Linked DNA regions of Arabidopsis thaliana. The protein of the gene in region 4 interacts with the protein of the main gene of each other region in a pairwise test. Each region holds a gene or a part of one and is shown on either strand. Other genes may lie near its edges. The genes, in order: AT2G23093, AT3G61260, AT2G38330 and TPI.

Evidence for each region.
Region 1: the proteins of TPI (region 4) and AT2G23093 interact in a protein complementation assay, tested with the Arabidopsis thaliana proteins (one large-scale study listed by BioGRID).
Region 2: the proteins of TPI (region 4) and AT3G61260 interact in a protein complementation assay, tested with the Arabidopsis thaliana proteins (one large-scale study listed by BioGRID).
Region 3: the proteins of TPI (region 4) and AT2G38330 interact in a protein complementation assay, tested with the Arabidopsis thaliana proteins (one large-scale study listed by BioGRID).

The regions. Positions count from the first base shown.
Region 1 is NC_003071.7:9,830,042-9,835,271, reverse strand, and holds AT2G23093 (Major facilitator superfamily protein), read right to left. Parts: upstream 3,241-5,230; 5' UTR 3,080-3,240; coding exon 2,881-3,079; intron 2,724-2,880; coding exon 2,579-2,723; intron 2,501-2,578; coding exon 2,332-2,500; intron 2,240-2,331; coding exon 1,981-2,239; intron 1,904-1,980; coding exon 1,815-1,903; intron 1,617-1,814; coding exon 1,434-1,616; intron 1,341-1,433; coding exon 1,255-1,340; intron 1,152-1,254; coding exon 1,067-1,151; intron 991-1,066; coding exon 856-990; 3' UTR 533-855; downstream 1-532. Other genes in the region: P4H13 (2-oxoglutarate (2OG) and Fe(II)-dependent oxygenase superfamily protein), read left to right, coding at 78-143, 221-340, 423-506; AT2G23090 (Uncharacterized protein family SERF), read left to right, coding at 4,998-5,073, 5,181-5,221.
Region 2 is NC_003074.8:22,674,543-22,678,656, reverse strand, and holds AT3G61260 (Remorin family protein), read left to right. Parts: upstream 1-1,805; 5' UTR 1,806-1,955; coding exon 1,956-2,175; intron 2,176-2,577; coding exon 2,578-2,631; intron 2,632-2,712; coding exon 2,713-2,800; intron 2,801-2,889; coding exon 2,890-2,971; intron 2,972-3,059; coding exon 3,060-3,254; 3' UTR 3,255-3,596; downstream 3,597-4,114. Other genes in the region: AT3G61270 (O-glucosyltransferase rumi-like protein (DUF821)), read right to left, coding at 1-146, 250-387.
Region 3 is NC_003071.7:16,062,857-16,067,966, forward strand, and holds AT2G38330 (MATE efflux family protein), read left to right. Parts: upstream 1-1,646; 5' UTR 1,647-1,714; coding exon 1,715-1,929; intron 1,930-2,009; coding exon 2,010-2,119; intron 2,120-2,205; coding exon 2,206-2,358; intron 2,359-2,461; coding exon 2,462-2,583; intron 2,584-2,685; coding exon 2,686-2,821; intron 2,822-2,973; coding exon 2,974-3,070; intron 3,071-3,168; coding exon 3,169-3,269; intron 3,270-3,347; coding exon 3,348-3,511; intron 3,512-3,651; coding exon 3,652-3,723; intron 3,724-3,811; coding exon 3,812-3,928; intron 3,929-4,009; coding exon 4,010-4,105; intron 4,106-4,191; coding exon 4,192-4,313; intron 4,314-4,401; coding exon 4,402-4,462; 3' UTR 4,463-4,581; downstream 4,582-5,110. Other genes in the region: DREB19 (Integrase-type DNA-binding superfamily protein), read right to left, coding at 4,591-5,110.
Region 4 is NC_003074.8:20,551,669-20,557,101, forward strand, and holds TPI (triosephosphate isomerase), read left to right. Parts: upstream 1-1,734; 5' UTR 1,735-2,125; coding exon 2,126-2,164; intron 2,165-2,491; coding exon 2,492-2,567; intron 2,568-2,857; coding exon 2,858-2,981; intron 2,982-3,325; coding exon 3,326-3,410; intron 3,411-3,504; coding exon 3,505-3,637; intron 3,638-3,815; coding exon 3,816-3,910; intron 3,911-4,020; coding exon 4,021-4,099; intron 4,100-4,185; coding exon 4,186-4,268; intron 4,269-4,359; coding exon 4,360-4,410; 3' UTR 4,411-4,892; downstream 4,893-5,433. Other genes in the region: AT3G55430 (O-Glycosyl hydrolases family 17 protein), read right to left, coding at 1-336.

The DNA.
Region 1 (5,230 bases), on a different chromosome or scaffold from region 4:
TGCTTCGGATTTTATTAAAGTTGATTCAAAACTACCATCTGTTGATCCTCCACTCATGGCTCAACATATGAATGCAGGTCGTGACTTTCCTATTGTTCTTATCGAGTGTCGAAGAAGGTGGAGAGACGATGTTCCCATTCGAGGTAATCATTGTTTCTTTCTTTCGATTTAACATGGTTGGGATTTTGAGTTGTAAAACAGAATGGTTTTGTGGAAGCAGAATGGGAGAAATATGAATGGAAGATATGATTATGAGAAGTGTGTTGGTCTGAAAGTAAAGCCGCGACAAGGAGACGCCATTTTCTTCTACAATTTGTTTCCAAATGGAACGATCGATCAAGTTAGTGTTCCTGACAATCAAAAACCTCATTTAAGACATAAAATGTTTGATCTTTCTCAGAATTTTGGGTTTGTTGTTGCAGACATCTCTACATGGAAGCTGTCCTGTTATCAAGGGTGAGAAATGGGTTGCCACCAAATGGATAAGAGACCAAACATATGATTGAAGATAATTCAGATTTGACTTGTAACTTGTAAAAATTTCATTCATATTTACTAGTAAAACAATAATGCCTAAAAGGTCCAAAGGAGATGATCTTAATAAGACATGAATCAAACAATCATTTAAAATAATAGAATCCTCTTAAACTAATAATCAAACCTCTTATACTGCTTTCATTGCATCTTTGAACTTCCAAGGTTTTGTGTTTCCTCACTTCATGCTGCTACAAAATCGAAGCGAGACCATTAACACAAGATCATAGACCAACTTGAGTTTCCAGTAGATTTATCTTCGTTTTGCCTTGTCCTGCTTCCGCATAAGTATCATAACCAGAGACCACGAGTTACTCAGGATCATAATTTGTGCCAATCATGGTGTGGTGACTTTCCCCATCGTCTCAACATATATATACAACCAGATGCAGTGAATAAAGAAATGGCACCAAGAGCCATCATTGTTGAGTTCTCGATCTTGTTAGAGTAGCCTCTCTGCAATATTAAGATCGGTAAGGTAACAGAAACAGAAGCAAAATAGGTTAACAATTGTGTTTTTGATAGCACAAACCTGGATTAAGAAAAACAAAATAGCTGCATTGGCTGGAACTTGAGAGAGGCTTATCATCCCTCCACGCAATTCATTTGGTACATACCTATAAATAAAGATAACAGTCCGTTACAACAGAGAAGAAAGGTTCTTCTACTAACAAAGAATGTCTCTGATGAATAATAAGGAAAAATATATAAGAGCATTACATTGTTCTTAATCTTGCAAGCAAAGGAAGTGCCAGTCCAGCAAAGCCATGAAATAAGCAGAAAAGTACTACTAAGATTCGGATTTCCTGCAGGATATGGTCTTTTATGCGTGAGGCCTTCCATATGAAGCAAATAAGTTTTTCACTGGTACACTTTTGTGAAACAAGCAAATAAGTTACCTGATAATCATAGGCTACTATAGAAAACACTATCCCAAGTAGTGCGTATATGTAGACTAAGCAATCTTCAAGCCGGAGCAATGATTGTCCACTCATTAGCCATGGGAATACAGTACTCCCAAGCATTCTTGAACCCAAGAAACATGGATATATCAATCCCAGATTCACTTCACGCCCATCAGCCTAAACAAACATAACTCATTTTAATCATTCCATTGTCGAGAAATAAATACCAATAATTTTATCATCTAAAGGCCAATTAGGGAATCACTGGAGGTCCTAAACATCAAATGACAGTAACCATCATTGCTAATTTGATTTCTGAAATATAAAATTTGGTTCAAGCAACTGCAAATATTATATTAGGAAGCTTAATCATACCACTATTGTTGGTGCCCACAGAATCCAAAAGACTGCAGTGGAAAACTGAAGACAGGCTTGTGAAGTTCCCAGAAACCATATTCTTTTGTCTGATCACATTAACAAGCTAAGATTAGCGTATACTCTTTCAGGAATTTTAACTGAATAGATGAAGACAAAATCTTACCACCAAGAACATACGCATAGAAAGCTGTGGAATAATCCCTAAACGGAAGGGTCTTCAACGGCTCTTTTGCAGTCTGGACAATACAAATAATAGTCACAACAGACAAGAGCAGAGACGCCGTAGCAGATAATGCAATCCCATCCTGAACATTTTCACCCACAAGCCAATTTGCAAGAACTTGACCTCCAATTAAAGATGCAGACTCAAGAAAAGTCATCAACCAGAATGTCTCATTTAACGAGTCATTCCTCTGACTTTGCTACAAAGATACAAGACACAGAACATCATTACAAAATCAGAACATTGATTATCTAATAATAAAAACTCAAATGCAATGACCAATCCATATACCTTTTCATGTTCCACAACAAGCCAAGTCTCAAACCCAAATGAATATACAAGACCAGCAAGGGAGAGAAAAACATTTGCAAACCAAGCACTAGGACTCATTGTAATCCTCTTCCACACACCAACAATAAGGTGCAAGACACAATAGAGTAGACAAATTTTCTTCTGACCTCTACAAAAGTTTCGGTATTTATCATTACTAGCACAAAATGAAAACACTTTGATCAACATTTTACTAAAAGCTACTTACATGAGATCAGAAACCACACCAAGTACAGGACCAAGAACAAGAGCGGTCGAATAACCAACACAGAGATAAAACACCATTGATTCTTTACTTAAGCCATAAGTTGTTAACTCCAATTCTCCATACACTGACAATAAACCTTCCATCACTGCCACATTCCAATCAAAGAATTCAAATTGTAGCAAAGGATCCATTTTGATAGACGAGAAAAGGCAAAAGTTGAAAGCTTTCGAAACCAGAAATTGAAAGCACCATAGATACAGATAAAAATCTGTAGACCCAACTGAAGAAATCTAATGATGTACCTGAAGAGAGAGTGTAGATAGCTAGAAACCATCTCTGGAACCGAGCGAAAGAAGAGGAAATAGAATGATCAAAGCTACCAAAAGTTCTGTTTTTGGCCAAGTAAGGAAACAGAGATATCGATAAAAATGTGGAAACGAAGAAGAAGATGAAGAAGCTTGAGCTTGGTTCCCAAATAAAGGTCTCAATAACGACACCCATCGATCCAAAATTCACCGGTAAATCAGCCGGAGAAAGAAGTAAAAGAACAAACAAAAAAACTCAATTACGTCGGAGAGAATTTGAGATCTTGACTGATGTAAGTGGTGCACAAAAAGAAATGAAGCCCAATATTATTATCAGGCCAAAAGGCCCAATAACTATCCCACCCAAAAAATAGTCTTAAGTTGAAGTAAGCTACACAAAATTTTGTTACAATTTGTTTTTGTATAATATTTCTTGACCATTGACATCGCCTTTCACATTTTTTTGAACATGTTTTTTAGTCTTTTTTTTTTCTTTCTTATATGTGTGTGCAACAAAAAAATTCAAGTTCATAGCAAAGATTTAACGTTGGTTGTTTCTAGATGTTTGAATTCACCACAACGCAACTAATCGCCAAAGATGTATATCAAATATGAAAAATTGATTTTTTAGATATTTGAATCTCTCTTAGATCTTTTTAAGAAAATATTTATCGCTCTTTTAATTACTCTTCGATCCTAAAACATTATCTTGGCCACAACGATTTTGTGAGACCAATGGAAATACTAGAAGATTATGGAGTTCAATTTTCAAGATAATTCGAATTTGGTGCGAAATCCAAATTATCATGATGTTGATGAAAATTATGATTTTGTAGGTTTTTCTTTCAAATACTTAGGAAATTTCAGTAAAATAGATAAGATTTTATGAGAACTAATGGATAATGAGGATTCATGATGTTGCATATTTTTCAAGGTTTAACATGAAATATGCAAGATTCTCAAATCCAGATTTCAAGAAGCCATAATTTTGAGATAAAATTTATAGCATATGCATCAAAACACAATAATAATTTAAAACAGAAATTACAAAATAATCATTTCCAAATTTTGATTTTTTGCCCAATTTGAATTTATGTTAAAATTTCTGAATCATGTTTTGGCCGAAAAGAATATGATGAAATCATATGTTAGATGTCAAAATTACGGAATCATCTAGAAAAAATCAAAATGAATTCTTCTAGAAGTTAACAATAGAAACCACTCATTCGCCGGGTGAAATCAATTGACTGACGAGTTGTCTACTAAACGAGCGTTAGTGTGAGTTAAACCTCTAAAGTTTGATAGCTCGAACTACTATCGAGATTCTTCGGACAATCTTTCTTAGTATCATCTCGATGTTCATTGCTATACCATCATTTGCTCTCTTATACTCAATAGACAAGGTAGTAGTTAGCTCGTGCAATCAATAAAAAGCGGTCATATTTTGTGTGAGTGAGTGACTCATTTTTTTTGAAGAAGATAAATCGTGTAGGTTATAGCTTATAGAGACCTAATAAAATTGACATTTACTAGAGTCTGTCCTAAAACAACAAAAAAATAATTTTCCTTTATTTTTAATTTTTTAATTGTAAATTCTGTTTTGTTTTAGTTTTTTTAGAAGTTAACAATATAAACCACTCACTCCCTGAATAATATTAATCCTATCATTTTGCATGAATGAGTGAGTGTCTCAATTCCTTTGAATAAGATAAACTGTACAGGTTATCAATTAGCAAAAAAGAATCTTTTTCTTGGTTTAGATTGAAAACATATTTGTGTGTTGGTCAACTGATTTATTCAGACCAAAAAAAAAAAAAAAACCTCAGTCGTTTAAACGTTAAAGGTTCTTGTTTTAACGGGCCTTAAATGGATAATAAGTCCGAAGGCCCATTATGTTGAATTATCTAGAATCCAAAATAACTTTAGGTGATTGGTGAGTAGGCGAATTAAATGTAAGTGGACATTACAGAAAAAGAATCAAGTGGCATCGTTTTTTTCTTTCTCATATAAATCTTTTCACATTAGAGTCGGCATAAAAATTCCATTTCGTATTTTTCTCTTCTTCCTCTTCTGAAAAATTAGGGTTTGAGTTCTTCTTCTAATCGATCAGAAAGATGGGTGGAGGAAACGCACAGAAATCAGCCATGGCTCGTGCCAAAAACTTGGAGAAGGCTAAGGCTGCAGGAAAAGGTAACAACCAGATTCAATTTTAGGGGTTTTTAGTCAATTTCAAAGATGGAGATTTTAGCCGTAAAATCGTGTTTCTTAATGATTTTTGTATTTGATCTCTCTTATAGGTAGCCAATTGGAAGCTAACAAGAAAGCTATGTCGATTCAGGTGATCACT
Region 2 (4,114 bases), 2.1 Mb from region 4:
GATGATTTTGAACTGTTGTTGGGGTTTAATCTCGATTTGCGGTTTTGTGAGATAGGAGTTTGACTTGATTGGTTCTGTACGAAGTCGCATCCGTAAGGATTTGGTTCTTTTGTCTTTGTTGTTAGCTTTAAACCTGCAAAAGCATTCTATAAAACAAAACAATAAGACAAATTATGATTATGATTAACGTTAACTACTGCGATTTATATTAAAGATAAACCAAGAATGTAAGGTGATATTAAAACCCACGAAATCGAGATAGCCCAGTAAGTCTAAGATAGCAGCTGAAATGAATAGAACGACGATGAAAACAGTAGCCTTCACGATGCTTTTTCGAGGAAATGTCACCGTTTTATTATGTTGGCCGTCGTTGTTATTCATCTTCATGCTTCTGTTTTGTGTTTATGTTGATGCACGAGTTTATGTAATAAAAGATTAACGAGAGAGCCGAGAGGATACATAAAAGGAGAATCAACAGAAACGCAACACAAAAGTATGAAGATAACAAAAAAAAAAACATGATATGACATCAAACTCATATATTTATTCCCTAAAACATACAATAAAGAAGTTTATTGTTTATAAGTAAGAGATGCATGTGATGTAATACAGGTCTAGAGATTTTGTTTTATGTTAATAGTATTTGTATAGACATTTTGTTTTAAGTGACGTATTATTTATTAGTATTTGTTTCCAGTAACATTAAATGGTATTAACATGGCACGGTCTAAGAAGTCAATATTTTCTAACTACCTCCAACTACGAGAGTGGACGTGCCAAATTGCACTTTTAGTTTTAGTAAGTACAACAAGATCAATAATGTAAGATGCACTTGATAATTAGGCACATTCCAGTCACTAACTCTTATCTTTGTCCATATAAGCCATTTTAAATTGTTTTTATTGACTTCTTTAAAGATAGCAAACACTAGTTAAACACACAAATCAAAGTTTTATAAGGTATGCGATATATTAATAACTGACGCTGTGAATGTGATTAGGCCTTTTCTGAAGTCATGCTTTTCCCACTTAGACATAACAATTTTACCTTCATCCCTATTCAGATGGAAACAGTTGGTTAAGATCGGTTTACGTCCATGGTTTGGATTTTGGAAGATATCATATCAGTGTTGGTTATAGGTAGGTGTTGTGTTAAGTGTTAACATCTCCCCTAATTTTTTTGTAAAATCAAAAGAGCTTCATTAAAAGTTACTAACTTCTATGCTTGATGTCTAGTGAGTAGTGACTTAGTTTAGTAATGGAACTTAAACTATGATATCTGTACAGTTGTACTAACGCTTCCGCATCATATAGAATGATAGAAAACAAATGTGTATTTACGGAGCGAATCTCGGAGTAGTTTGGATCAGTTTAGTCTTTTTGGAAAACAAATCCTGTCAGATAGCTTTTGGATCTTTCCTAAAAACCTCTAAATAAAGAATATGAATCGAGCCCAATAAATTAGGCCCATCTTATACGGCACGTCTTATACACGCGCTCCTACAAACATGGATAATATCCACGCGCCAATAGAGTGCGTGGGGTCACAACAACTCAGTATCTTATCTGTCTCCAGCGTGTCTTCCTCCACGTCACGCTTTCGTCCGACATATTATTATTTAAACAGAAAAACAATTTACTAATGAAAACAAATTGACATTTGCTTACGTGGCATATGTTTAACCGCATTACCTGTCTGTCGGCAAGCTGAATTTTTGTGTTCGGCTGCATCGCAGTTCACGTGGATACACAACAAATGGATTTATAACCGTAGGATCTGATGCCTTTATATATCAACGGATAATAAAATAAGGTATTTTTAACCCCAAAAAAACGCGGCTAATACGTATAAACATCTTTCTGTTGCTTGGAAATAATATCTTCAATTTTTCATATTTCGTTTTTAATTTGGTTTTCTTTTTTCCTCTCTATTTCTTCGGCTGAGAGGCGGCGACTATGGCGGAGGAACAGAAGATAGCGTTAGAATCAGAATCTCCGGCGAAGGTTACGACTCCTGCTCCAGCAGATACACCGGCTCCAGCTCCGGCAGAGATTCCGGCTCCAGCTCCAGCTCCGACTCCGGCTGATGTCACGAAAGACGTTGCAGAGGAGAAAATTCAAAACCCACCTCCGGAGCAAATTTTCGATGACTCCAAAGCCCTTACTGTTGTTGAGAGTAAGTTAATTTCTCTTAACGCATGTAATTATGGATTCTGTTCTCTGATAATCTTCTGCTTTGACGAGGAAATATTGGTTTTGGGGTTAACTTGGTTCTGTATTTTAAAAATTAGGTTTTATTGGTTATTAGGATTGGGTTGCTCCAGAGATAGAATTTGTCATTGAAATACGATTAGAGTGCACAGTTAAATTCGAATTCGTTTCGATTTAAAGTCTCGAGATTGGTAAATTTAGTTTTGTTGTGATGTATAATTCAATGTATATGGTCATTAAGCACCCAAAAATTGTAGCTTTATGTTCATAACCATGCATATGTTTTGTATGTGTTTGCTTGTGACTCTCTTCTGTGGCAATTTTGCTGGTTATGTTTGAAATTTTAACGGAATGAATTTTTTTACAGAACCTGTAGAAGAGCCTGCACCGGCGAAACCTGCGTCTGCATCGCTCGATAGAGGTGAGCTTAAACAAAATTGTGTGACTTCTTTCTGGATGTAATGTTTGTTAAAGTTTCTGAGTTCCATTGTTTGGTTTGTAGATGTTAAGCTAGCTGATTTGTCAAAGGAAAAGAGATTGTCTTTCGTCAGAGCGTGGGAAGAAAGCGAAAAGAGCAAAGCAGAGAACAAGTAAGACATTTTATTTTATCGTCACTGGTTTTAGGTTTTGGCTTTTTTATGTTCTTTGCCTGATTTTGCTGACTATTGACATGAAACAGAGCTGAGAAGAAGATTGCAGATGTTCATGCTTGGGAAAACAGCAAGAAAGCAGCTGTCGAAGCGCAACTCAAGAAAATCGAGGTATAATAAACTTAGCAATAGAGAGGTGAAACGGTTTTAATGTGATTGAGAAGTGAAGTGTTAATTTGTGAGTTTTTTCTCAATGCAGGAGCAACTAGAGAAGAAGAAAGCAGAGTATGCAGAGAGGATGAAGAATAAGGTTGCAGCGATTCACAAGGAAGCAGAAGAGAGAAGAGCAATGATTGAAGCTAAGCGTGGAGAAGACGTTCTTAAAGCAGAAGAAACGGCTGCTAAATACAGAGCCACTGGAATTGTTCCAAAGGCAACTTGTGGATGTTTCTAATCTTGAATTTGCGAATCAAAGTTTCAAGACTTCGTAACTGTAAAGTGTAATCAAATTTCTCTGTTCTCTTTAATGGCTTGTAATGTTGTTTGTATATTGATTTTGTGTGTGACAATCAGAGTGAAAAATATGTTTCATTGTTTTCTTTCCGCAATTTTCTCAAGCATTGTCACATCACATCATGGAGAGAAGATTGATGACTCAAGTCATTAAGAATATGAGGAGATTTTCTAAAGTTCTTCAACTAATAACAGTAGCTAATGGACCAAAAGAAATTCGAAGGACGGGATCCTAAGTTCAGTTTGTTTATAACGTATTTTTGAATGTAACACTTAAATTTAATTTCGTTTAAATTATAACAATTTTCTTCGAAAATTATTTGTGAAAAACATTAAAAGCTAACGAAATGTGAGATTTACAATACATGAAAAAATGTTGAACTAATAACACAAAACTTACAGACTAAAAGGACATGATGCTAAATCAGTTTTATTTTTACATCTTTAAATTAACACTTATGTCTAAAACATATTTCAAAATAAAAACAGTTTTAATAGTAAAAAACTTTGAGTTAAAAATGAAAACAATTTACTAATAATATTACTTGTGAAAAACCTTAAGTGTTAAATTTTGAATATGTGAAAACGTGTTAAATTTAATGAAATCACAATACTTACAAACAAAAAAAGACGGAATGCTAAATCCGGTTCTTTTACGTAACTAAATTAGTTTACACAAAATTTAAAAATTTAATACATATCCAAAATTTAAAAATTAAATAGTAATTTAAAAAATATTAGTTTTAAAATAATTAATAAAAGAAAAACAAGTGTTAAAAAGGAAATAATTTATCAAATATA
Region 3 (5,110 bases), on a different chromosome or scaffold from region 4:
ATATTTATGGTCCGGAGTTCTAACCAAAGATAGTTGCTCTGTATATAGAAGTTATACATCTCGCTTGTTTAAACTAAATAACTATTTAGTTTGTCTTGGTAGTCCAGTGACTTTCTGCAAACATTGGGATTTATAATATAGTCAAAACGTTGGGATATGTAGTATTCATTTTCGTTGTAAAAATCATTATATTTTGCAAAGGTTGCAACGTAAAACGTTGTATTGAATTTAGGAGAAAGTAGCCATTTACAATGAATTTTAGTGACAAACTGTTGTATACAGCCTGTGCCACTAAGTATGTCTATATCTAAATTTGGAATGGATGATAACCAGTATTGGTCAATAATGGATAATTTGGTATTTAGAATTACTAATTTGGTATTTTAGTGACAAACTGTTGTATGGAATTTAGGAGAACGCGTTCCCAAGCTATATATTATATGTATTTCATTCTTTCATATGTTATATTATGAATTGTTATAAAAAAGACCAATGAGCAACGGTTTAAGGTTTAATCAGTAATCGATCCGACCAATCATATACAAGTTCCTAACACATCTTCTAACTACTGAGTAAAATAGTAATGCTATTACAAAGGTTTTTTCTTTTCAAAATACAGCCTAATGCTACTACAAAATTCTAATGTTATAAAATAATCATAGGAGAAGTAAACCCCGGTATTTAATTAATACCTTACAAACTTACATTATTGATAAAGTTGAATGAAGAGTTATATGGTCCATTTAGTATTATTTACTTAATATGATACTAGTGTTAGACGTGTTACTGTATTTCAACGTGCATAATCAGGTTGTTCAAAAAGAGAGAGGATAGGTCTTCTTCTTCTGTAATTTGCTGGGACCGCAAGTCATGTGAGGCTGCTCTGCTGATGCTGCACGGCGTCGCAACTCTCTCAATAAATTCTTTTAACTAACGCTCCAATTTTCGATGTAAATTGGCTGACTTCAATTCTATGCCTTACTCTTGTACTCTATGTTTCTTTATCTATTAAAATCCAACTCTGCTTTTGAACCCAAAAAACAAAACAAAAACCAACTCTGCTGAATCATGAAACACGTCCTTGATCTTTATTTTTATTTTTTCCCAATATATGCTCTTAAGAACTAGTTATTGCTTTTGAACCCAAAAAAAGAATTCTGAGTTTTAGGATATCAAATGATCTTACAACTTTCTATATCAAGATTCTTGAACACTAGATATGCGGATTTCAAATATACTCCCAAAAATCAAAATATGCGGACCTATAATCCAAATTTGGATCCATTCAAAAAACAACTAAACAAAATTTTAAGTGTATAAAAAAAATGCAAATCCAAGTCACAAGATAACTGGAGAAAGAGATATTTCTTTTGAGTTGTTGCTAAATTGAGAAAGTGAGTGATAATACACGAATCAAACTCATGACTTACATATGAGAGTCACGGCACAACAAAGAAAAAAGATGAAGCTATCTTAAAGATACAAAGTGTAACATTGGCAGAAAAAAAAACAAAAAACAAAGTAACAAACAAACAAGCTATTTAAAAGCCCAATAAAAAGCCCATTAAAGGCCCATCCATAAGGTACAGCTAGTTTAGACATGTGACCGTTTAATCAGTTAGTGAGTAGAGATAGATAAAAAGAGTGAACATCAACATGTGGCTCTCTTTCTTCCTCCTCCGCCGAGATTTTTCTCCGTCTCTCGTTCTCCGCAATGGCGGCGGTCGCTACCTCCTTCTGTTTCTCTCCCCATCGATCGCCGTCACGTTTTGGAAACCCTAATTCATCCATTCGAAGAACAATCGTCTGTAAATCATCTCCTCGCGATGAATCTCCAGCCGTCTCCACTTCTTCTCAGCGACCGGAAAAGCAGCAGAATCCTCTGACTTCACAGAATAAACCGGATCATGATCACAAACCGGATCCTGGGTTCGTACCTTAGCCTAATAATGCTTCTTCTGTATTCAACTTTGAATGGTTTCTAATGTATTTGATTTTTTTGGGTTTAGGATTGGTAAAATTGGAATGGAGATAATGTCAATTGCATTACCTGCTGCATTAGCTTTAGCTGCTGATCCTATAACATCTCTTGTCGACACTGCCTTCGTTGGCCATATTGGTAAATACTTACTTTTTGCTTGGTTTCAACAATTTCACATTTTTCGAAAGTTCACATTTTTAACATTCATATGTGTAATGTGACAGGTTCTGCGGAATTAGCTGCAGTAGGAGTGTCAGTTTCTGTATTCAATTTGGTGTCGAAGCTCTTCAATGTTCCTTTACTAAATGTCACAACATCGTTTGTTGCGGAGGAGCAAGCAATTGCTGCTAAGGATGATAATGATTCTATAGAAACAAGTATTTTACTTTCCTTAAAGCTTATAATGAAAAATGTTTTTATTGTTTTCTTCAAAGATTGTTTCTTTACTTTGAATCTGTTGTTTATTTGTTGGTGTTAAAGGCAAGAAAGTGCTGCCTTCGGTTTCAACTTCATTAGTTCTTGCTGCTGGAGTTGGTATTGCAGAGGCCATTGCGCTATCTCTCGGGTCTGATTTCTTGATGGATGTCATGGCTATACCTTTTGTAATGTCTCTAAGCTCACGTTGAACTTCTTTTATATAAGCTGTTATCTTTGAAGTTTTGTATAGCTGATCGCTCTTCTTTCTCGGTTTGTAATTTTTTTAGGATTCACCAATGCGGATACCAGCAGAGCAGTTCCTCAGACTTCGAGCGTATGGTGCACCACCAATTGTTGTTGCATTGGCTGCGCAAGGAGCTTTTCGAGGTTTCAAGGACACAACAACGCCTCTATATGCCGTTGGCAAGTATTGCACAATCATCTATTTTTTTTGTATTTATGCATGAATGGATCTGAGGAAATAAATAGTATATGCGCATTAGCTCACTAGACCGTATATATGCATTAGCAGTTTCACATACATGTTTCTAATATGGTGAACTCTATATCAACAGTTGCGGGGAATGTACTTAATGCGGTATTGGATCCAATCCTGATATTTGTCCTTGGTTTTGGTATCTCTGGTGCTGCGGCTGCTACTGTGATTTCTGAGTATGTCCAAAAATGTGGTAATAGACTCGTTTTCTAGTAAAGCATATCTATCTTAATTTGTGGCTTCTTATGTTTCTCACTTGTCAACGTTTCTTCAGATACTTGATTGCATTTATTCTTCTATGGAAGTTGAATGAGAATGTAGTTTTGCTCTCTCCTCAAATCAAAGTGGGAAGAGCCAACCAGTACCTCAAATCAGGTAATTCCTTAAAATTTTCAAGTTTTCTTTAAACGATTCAGAAAGGCTACTATATGAAATGTATTGATTCATGCTTAGGTGGGCTTCTCATTGGTAGAACGGTGGCTTTGCTTGTGCCATTCACATTAGCTACTTCGTTAGCAGCTCAAAATGGACCCACTCAAATGGCTGGCCATCAAATCGTCTTGGAAATCTGGTTGGCTGTCTCTTTACTCACCGATGCTTTAGCCATTGCTGCACAGGTCTAATATCTTTTGCAAATCATCTTCGAAACAGACAATCTCTACCAAGATTTACTGTGATATAAGAATCCCATTAGCATGATCCAAGATTACCTTTTGGGGAGAAGATTTTCACTTATATTTTCTACCTCTATTTTCAGAGTCTTCTTGCCACCACTTACTCTCAAGGAGAATACAAACAAGCCCGGGAAGTTCTCTTCGGAGTCCTTCAAGTTCGTATTCATAATTCATTACATCCCTAGTTTATATCCTACCCTATATATTCGATGTTATAATGTACAATTGCAATCTTTTAAGTAGGTAGGTTTAGCAACTGGAACTGGTTTGGCTGCTGTATTGTTCATCACTTTCGAACCATTTTCAAGCTTATTCACAACGGATTCAGAAGTTTTAAAGATTGCTTTGTCAGGGACCTTAGTAAGATCTTATCTTTTAATCCAGAAAGAGTTTGAAAAGGGTAGTCTCAGACAATATCTAAATAATGTTGGCTGGATGCAGTTTGTGGCTGGATCTCAACCGGTGAATGCTCTAGCGTTTGTTTTGGATGGGCTCTATTATGGTGTCTCTGACTTCGGATTTGCCGCTTATTCTATGGTCCCTTTTCCTTCTTCATCAATTGGTCGTTTGATTCTCCCTTTTCTTCACCTGGAAAAAGTTGATTATTTCTCATTTTGGAACAGGTGATTGTCGGATTCATATCTTCCTTGTTCATGCTTGTGGCTGCACCAACGTTTGGCCTTGCCGGGATCTGGACTGGTTTGTTCCTCTTCATGGCGTTGCGGTTGGTTGCTGGAGCCTGGAGGTAAACAATTAATTAAAAAGACCGTTCTAGTTTCAAGTTTTCAACCCATCCGAAATTTTTCTTAAAAGGATACTGCGTCATGTTTCAGATTGGGGACAAGAACCGGTCCATGGAAAATGCTATGGTCTGCTCCAGAGAAGCCAGAATGAAGCGGATCACTGTTTTTTGCGGTATGATGCGTGACTCTTAAGTTAAGATAAATGAAAATGGAGTAAACTAACAATGTAAAAAACATAGTCTCATAGTCATAGTATATTGATGCAGCATAAATCCTAAGCTAGAATCTGAAATACTCAAAATATGAATCGAATCCACCTCCCTGGTGATAACTGGAGCTTTGAGGTTCATTATACAACAATCCGTTATCCAATTTGAATCGATCATAGCTGTAACCTTCCTCTGATTTCACTGCTGGGTTCACTATTTCATTATCAGTCATAGGATTCTGAGTCTTGTCATGGCCAAGCTCAATAGCGTCTTCATTGTAGACTACATAGTCTTTTCCACCTTCCGTTTCAATCACGCCATTACCGGCTTTGTTAGTTTCCAACCAATAGCCTCCCGAACTTTCCGCCTCCTCGTCCTTCTTCCTTCCCCCACCCAAATCTTCCGGGAAATTTAACCTGGCATAGGGTCCGTACATGACACTAGCAGCTCTGTCGTAAGCCAAAGCAGCTTCAGCTGCAGTAGCAAACGTGCCAAGCCAAAGCCGTTTACTACGACTAGAGTTTGCACCACGGTGACTCACTGGTTCACGTATCTCAGCAACCCATTTCCCCCAAACCCTTTGTCGAACA
Region 4 (5,433 bases):
CTTCGTCTGAGGATGAAACGGCAAAATGTTAACCGAAACCCACCGACGAGCTTGTCTTCCGTTAGCCAACGCCGGAATATCACCGTTAGGAACGGTGACAACGACGGAGATACCAGTTCCAGCGAAGGCACGTAGGATATCGGGATTCACATCGAAGATCTTGACGCTATCAATCGAAGTTTGTGTCTTGATAAAGTTAGCCACCTGAGTCGGTGGTGGGAGGTTTCCGAGAGTTCCGTAGTTAACACCGATGGCGGAGATCACGGCGGGGATGGTGAGGAATACGGCGGCGCAGAGGAGGAGGAGAAGAGAGATTGACGGTGGCGCTTTGGCCATCTTTTTATATTTCGGAAATGAGAAAACCAAACGATTCCAAGTGAAACCCGTGAATCGTTTGAGTTGTGTTTTTATTATTACGACGAATAGATTTTTTTATTCTTATCGAGAAAGTATTTATAATAAAAATTAATAGATATGACCGTTTTGTATAGCGTATACGTGTGTATATTTTTAGTGAGGAACAGCTGGATTTTGTGGAAAGCAAAATAAAAGAAGAAGTTTGTGTTGTCTTTGTTTTTCATGTGCGTCGGCTTAAATTTAGGCCGTTGTAAATTATTGAAAAAGTGGATTTTGTTGTGACCGTGGAAACTTTAGTTAATTAATTTGGCTAATTATAGAGTCTGCTTTTGTTTGGATAATCAATTTGTCATCTTTTTCTTTAATGGTTTTTGGCTGGTAAATACTCATACTATCCAAGTTTAATCTAAAAATATACCTCTTTCTTGTTAATCGTAATTTTACAATCCTAATTTTATCCAGATACGGATGAACTATATTTGAAAAAAAGGAACTAAAGTGAAGTTAAGAAAACAAAAGAGAGATCGAGTGTTGTTTTTTCTTGGATACGTTTATTAAAAGATGTTCTTAATGAGGTCAAAGGAGACTATCTGAGTTTTTACTGCTAAACTTAAAACTAAAAAAAAAATCGATTAGTAATATTGATGTATCAACGAAATGTATATGGTTAAATATTAAGTGAAAAGAAAAAGAAGAGAGATCGACGCGGTTTGGGATAATGCCATTGGCCCATTGGACACGTGTTTGTAGGAGGAATAGTTTGGAGTTTGAACACTACGGACCAAAGTCAAAGAGATTCGAAGTATGAAGATGTTGTTGAGGAAGCTGATTCGAAGTAACTTTTACCGACACGCTTTAGCCATTTGTTATGCTTTCTTTGGGAAAAGAAGATCCGCGTCCATGTCTCATTGTTAACAGTTTATTGTCATTTTCAATGACATGGTTACACTCATTGCACACACACACAAACCACGTAATTTTGTATTTTTTTAATTAAATCCCATCCTTATTTTTTGCAATAACAAATTACCATTGTTACTTTTTAATGATATCACATAAAATAATCGATGCCACTCGATAGCCCTTTAGACTAACAATATGTTTGTTGAAGTATGCCACAATGTTTGAAGTGAGCCGGCTCAATGCTCTCATGGTGGTTTAGTAGTTTAACTTGAGAACTTACAACAGTTTTCTCCTTCTCCACACTATTTGTATCCAAGAAGGGGCATTACAATATAGAATTGCATAATACGATTTAAACTTTTACCAAAAAAAAAAAAGAAAAAAAAAGAAAGAATTGCGTAATACAGAATTTATCTTTAAGGGAATACAAATATAATTTGGTTTCAGAATCATCTCAATAGGCTTTCCTTTAACCAAACTTGGGTTTTATTGATGTGCTTGCTTTAATGGGCCTAAAGCCCATACAACAGCATCACTATCCACGCCGTTGTCTATTCTTATTATTCACCCCACCCGGTACACCGACCAAACCTTGGCCAACACGTCCATAATATTTCATCCTCCCTCCTAATTTACTTTAATATCCTCAACTTTCCTAATCGTTCAGGGAATATTCTCATATACCCTAGACATATGCGTCTTTTCCAATCTAAAATGTTGAGAGTATATTTTTATTTATATATATATGAGTGACCCCTGCGAGAGACAACGGCCACTGAACACTATCGATCTAATCTTTTCAGCTCTCTCCATCGTCGTCGTATCTGTGACTCTCGTGATCATCGCCTGAAAAAAATTTGAGATAATGGCCAGAAAGTTCTTCGTCGGAGGCAACTGGAAATGTGTAAGTGATCTTTACCTTCTATTGCGCACCTTATTATTAGTCTTGTCACTTGATCCTTCCCCGATCAAGTCAAAGAGATCGGAAAATCCCGATCTTAAGATCTAAGGTTTTTTTCATTATTTGTAGCGGTGGAATTTGAATTGTAATGCATATGGTTCAGATTTGTCGATTCTATGCCGGATCTTAGTTGTTTTTTTTTGTCAAAATTTTGAGTAGGAATTTTTCTTCAATTGATATCTCGTGTTCTAGCTTTGGTGGATCCGTGTGTTAATTTTGTTGGTTAAACTATTTTAACATGTTAATATTTGAATTTGTAATCTTATATAGAACGGAACTGCTGAGGAGGTGAAGAAGATTGTGAACACTCTTAATGAAGCTCAGGTTCCTTCACAGGATGTTGTAGGTATGTGTAGCATCTCAATTGCTTTGACGACATTATGGCTTTTTTTTTAATTTCCATGTCTATGAAATCTTAAGTAGTGACAAATATTTTGGGCATACAATTACAAACCTGTTTCAATGTACATCGATGTTCTATAGTGTTTATGCTTCTTAGGAACCATGGATAGATCTAGTGTTTGTTGTTAGTTAAAATGTTCTTTATCATATACTTGTTATGGTTCTATCTTTGTTGATAGTTATAAGTATGTTTGTTCTTGTATTAATAATTTGATGAAATTTTACTAAATGCAGAGGTTGTGGTTAGCCCTCCATATGTTTTTCTTCCCCTGGTTAAGAGCACATTGAGGTCTGACTTTTTTGTTGCGGCACAAAACTGTTGGGTTAAGAAAGGAGGTGCTTTCACTGGTGAAGTGAGGTGAGATTCTAACCATTGGTGTATACTTTAAGCTGTTTTACCATTATTGCTTCATGCAGTAAATATTTATGGTTTTGAAAATGAATATGATTGTGTTTATAAACGAATCGATTTTTCCATCTGTTCTTCTTCTTTATCTTCTTTCCTATAAGAATTGTGTAACCTAAGTGATTAAGAAAACAACTAGTAGTTGGTAGTAAGACCATGATTGGATTCGTGCCTGGTTAGACAAGTAGGTGTAATATGATTTACCTGTCTATGGAATGCTTTCATAGGAAGAAAAGATATATTCTGTGGTGCCTGTATTTCCTGCTCTTATGCATTGTGTAATTTGTGTGTTTTAGTGCGGAGATGCTTGTGAACTTGGATATTCCATGGGTTATCCTTGGTCACTCTGAAAGGAGGGCAATCCTTAATGAATCAAGCGAGGTTGGTGACTTTACATGATAAAATAATTTTCTGGAGACTCAAATAGCTTTTAAATTCATGATTTTGGTTTTTGACCTCTATCCTACATTTGTAGTTCGTCGGAGACAAGGTTGCCTATGCACTTGCTCAAGGTTTGAAAGTGATTGCTTGTGTTGGTGAGACTCTTGAGGAGCGGGAAGCTGGATCGACCATGGATGTTGTGGCTGCCCAGACCAAGGCTATTGCCGGTATGTATATTGTCAAACATTTAATCTCTTTTTGCTATCTCAGTTCGTTCTCGTTTACAGTGAGACCTGTTTTGATGATAGTGATGCCCGTTTCTACGCACTATACTCCCTTAGTGTGTGATTCAAACCCCACAGAAATATTTGTTGGCTAAAAAACTCTTTTTGTTGGTAATGGCAGATCGGGTGACAAACTGGTCAAATGTTGTCATAGCCTATGAACCAGTGTGGGCCATTGGAACCGGAAAGGTCGCTAGCCCAGCCCAAGCTCAAGAAGTAAGTGGTTCTCGATGCGCAGTTGCACTGTAACGTGTTGCATATGGTCATGATTTAATAGGAAAACCAATGCTGTTTTCCTTACGAGAGCTTGTTTCGTTTATGAACAGGTACACGATGAGCTGAGGAAATGGCTGGCCAAGAACGTGAGTGCTGATGTCGCTGCTACAACCCGCATCATTTATGGAGGTAGATAGATGATAACACGATCTTTAATTAAACACCCCTATATAGTTTTCTATGTTACTTAGCTTGATTATGCAAATTATTATCAGGATCCGTCAATGGTGGTAACTGCAAGGAGCTAGGTGGACAGGCCGATGTTGATGGTTTCTTGGTCGGTGGTGCTTCTCTAAAGGTACATATAATATGGTTTCTCTTGTAATGATATCTTTCGTTTGTCTCTTTCAAAACCATGACTAATGTTTTCATTCTTGGTCTTTTTGCAGCCTGAGTTTATCGACATCATTAAGGCCGCAGAGGTGAAGAAAAGTGCCTAATGAGCTCATTAAGCAATTTAAAAGTCCTTTGCTTTTCCAGTCGCAACTCTGAAAAAATGAATAAGTTGGTATTATGATATGATACATTTTGCTTCAGTTGTATTTGGCAAAAGTTTCTCTCTTACTATATTGTTTTGAGAACGCAACAATCATTTTCTTCGCCATTTATTTAGCTGTGGACTTGCAATTTGCAAATCCCTTCCTTTTACAGTCTTCTCAACTCTTCAGAGAATCTGTGTTTGGAGTTCATAACCCCTCGGGCCTTTTGATCAAACCCCTATTTCTAATGTCGTCCGATCATAAACCTGTGTGTTATATAATATGTTGTTTGTTCCATTTTAGACTTTGGTATTTTGTCATGCTTGATCTCTGAATCATGCTGTCAACCACTTTGAAAATGGCTTTACTTGTTAAATAAATGACGAGAGAATACAGGAGAAGTGGGAAATGACTTTATTTTTTCCCTTTTATCGCTTTTTGCCTATTGGTCTGTCATTTTTGACATTTTAGCTTTTAGAACATTATTATTTTCAACTTTATTGTCATCATCTTGAAAAATGTCCAACATTACGAAATTATTATGTAGAGAGTAAAAAAGGAAAAGAAATTTCATGGAGAAACTCATTGTATTAGGAATGTCAATGTTTGTAGAAAACAAAATGCTTATGTAATTTGAGTAAAACGGCTCAGTGGAACTAAAGTGATAATGTAAAAGAGACGGTTAAGTCCAAAATAAGAGCTCCCGTATGTCAGAATTGTTCAAACCATTTATTAAAAAATTGGACTCAGTATGATGAAAATGTGTATGGATTTTGATCCGACCACGAAAATCCAACTAGTGCCAATAAAAACTCCACAATATGTGACTCAGCTACAAATGTGATAACGTATTATCTCCCAAGTCAACCCACATTTCTGGTGACTTATATTTTATTTATTTCTGAGTAATATTTAAGAAAGTAGGGATTGAATTTTTATGAGTATTATATTATATAGTTGACCTTGGACTTATTTGCGTAACGA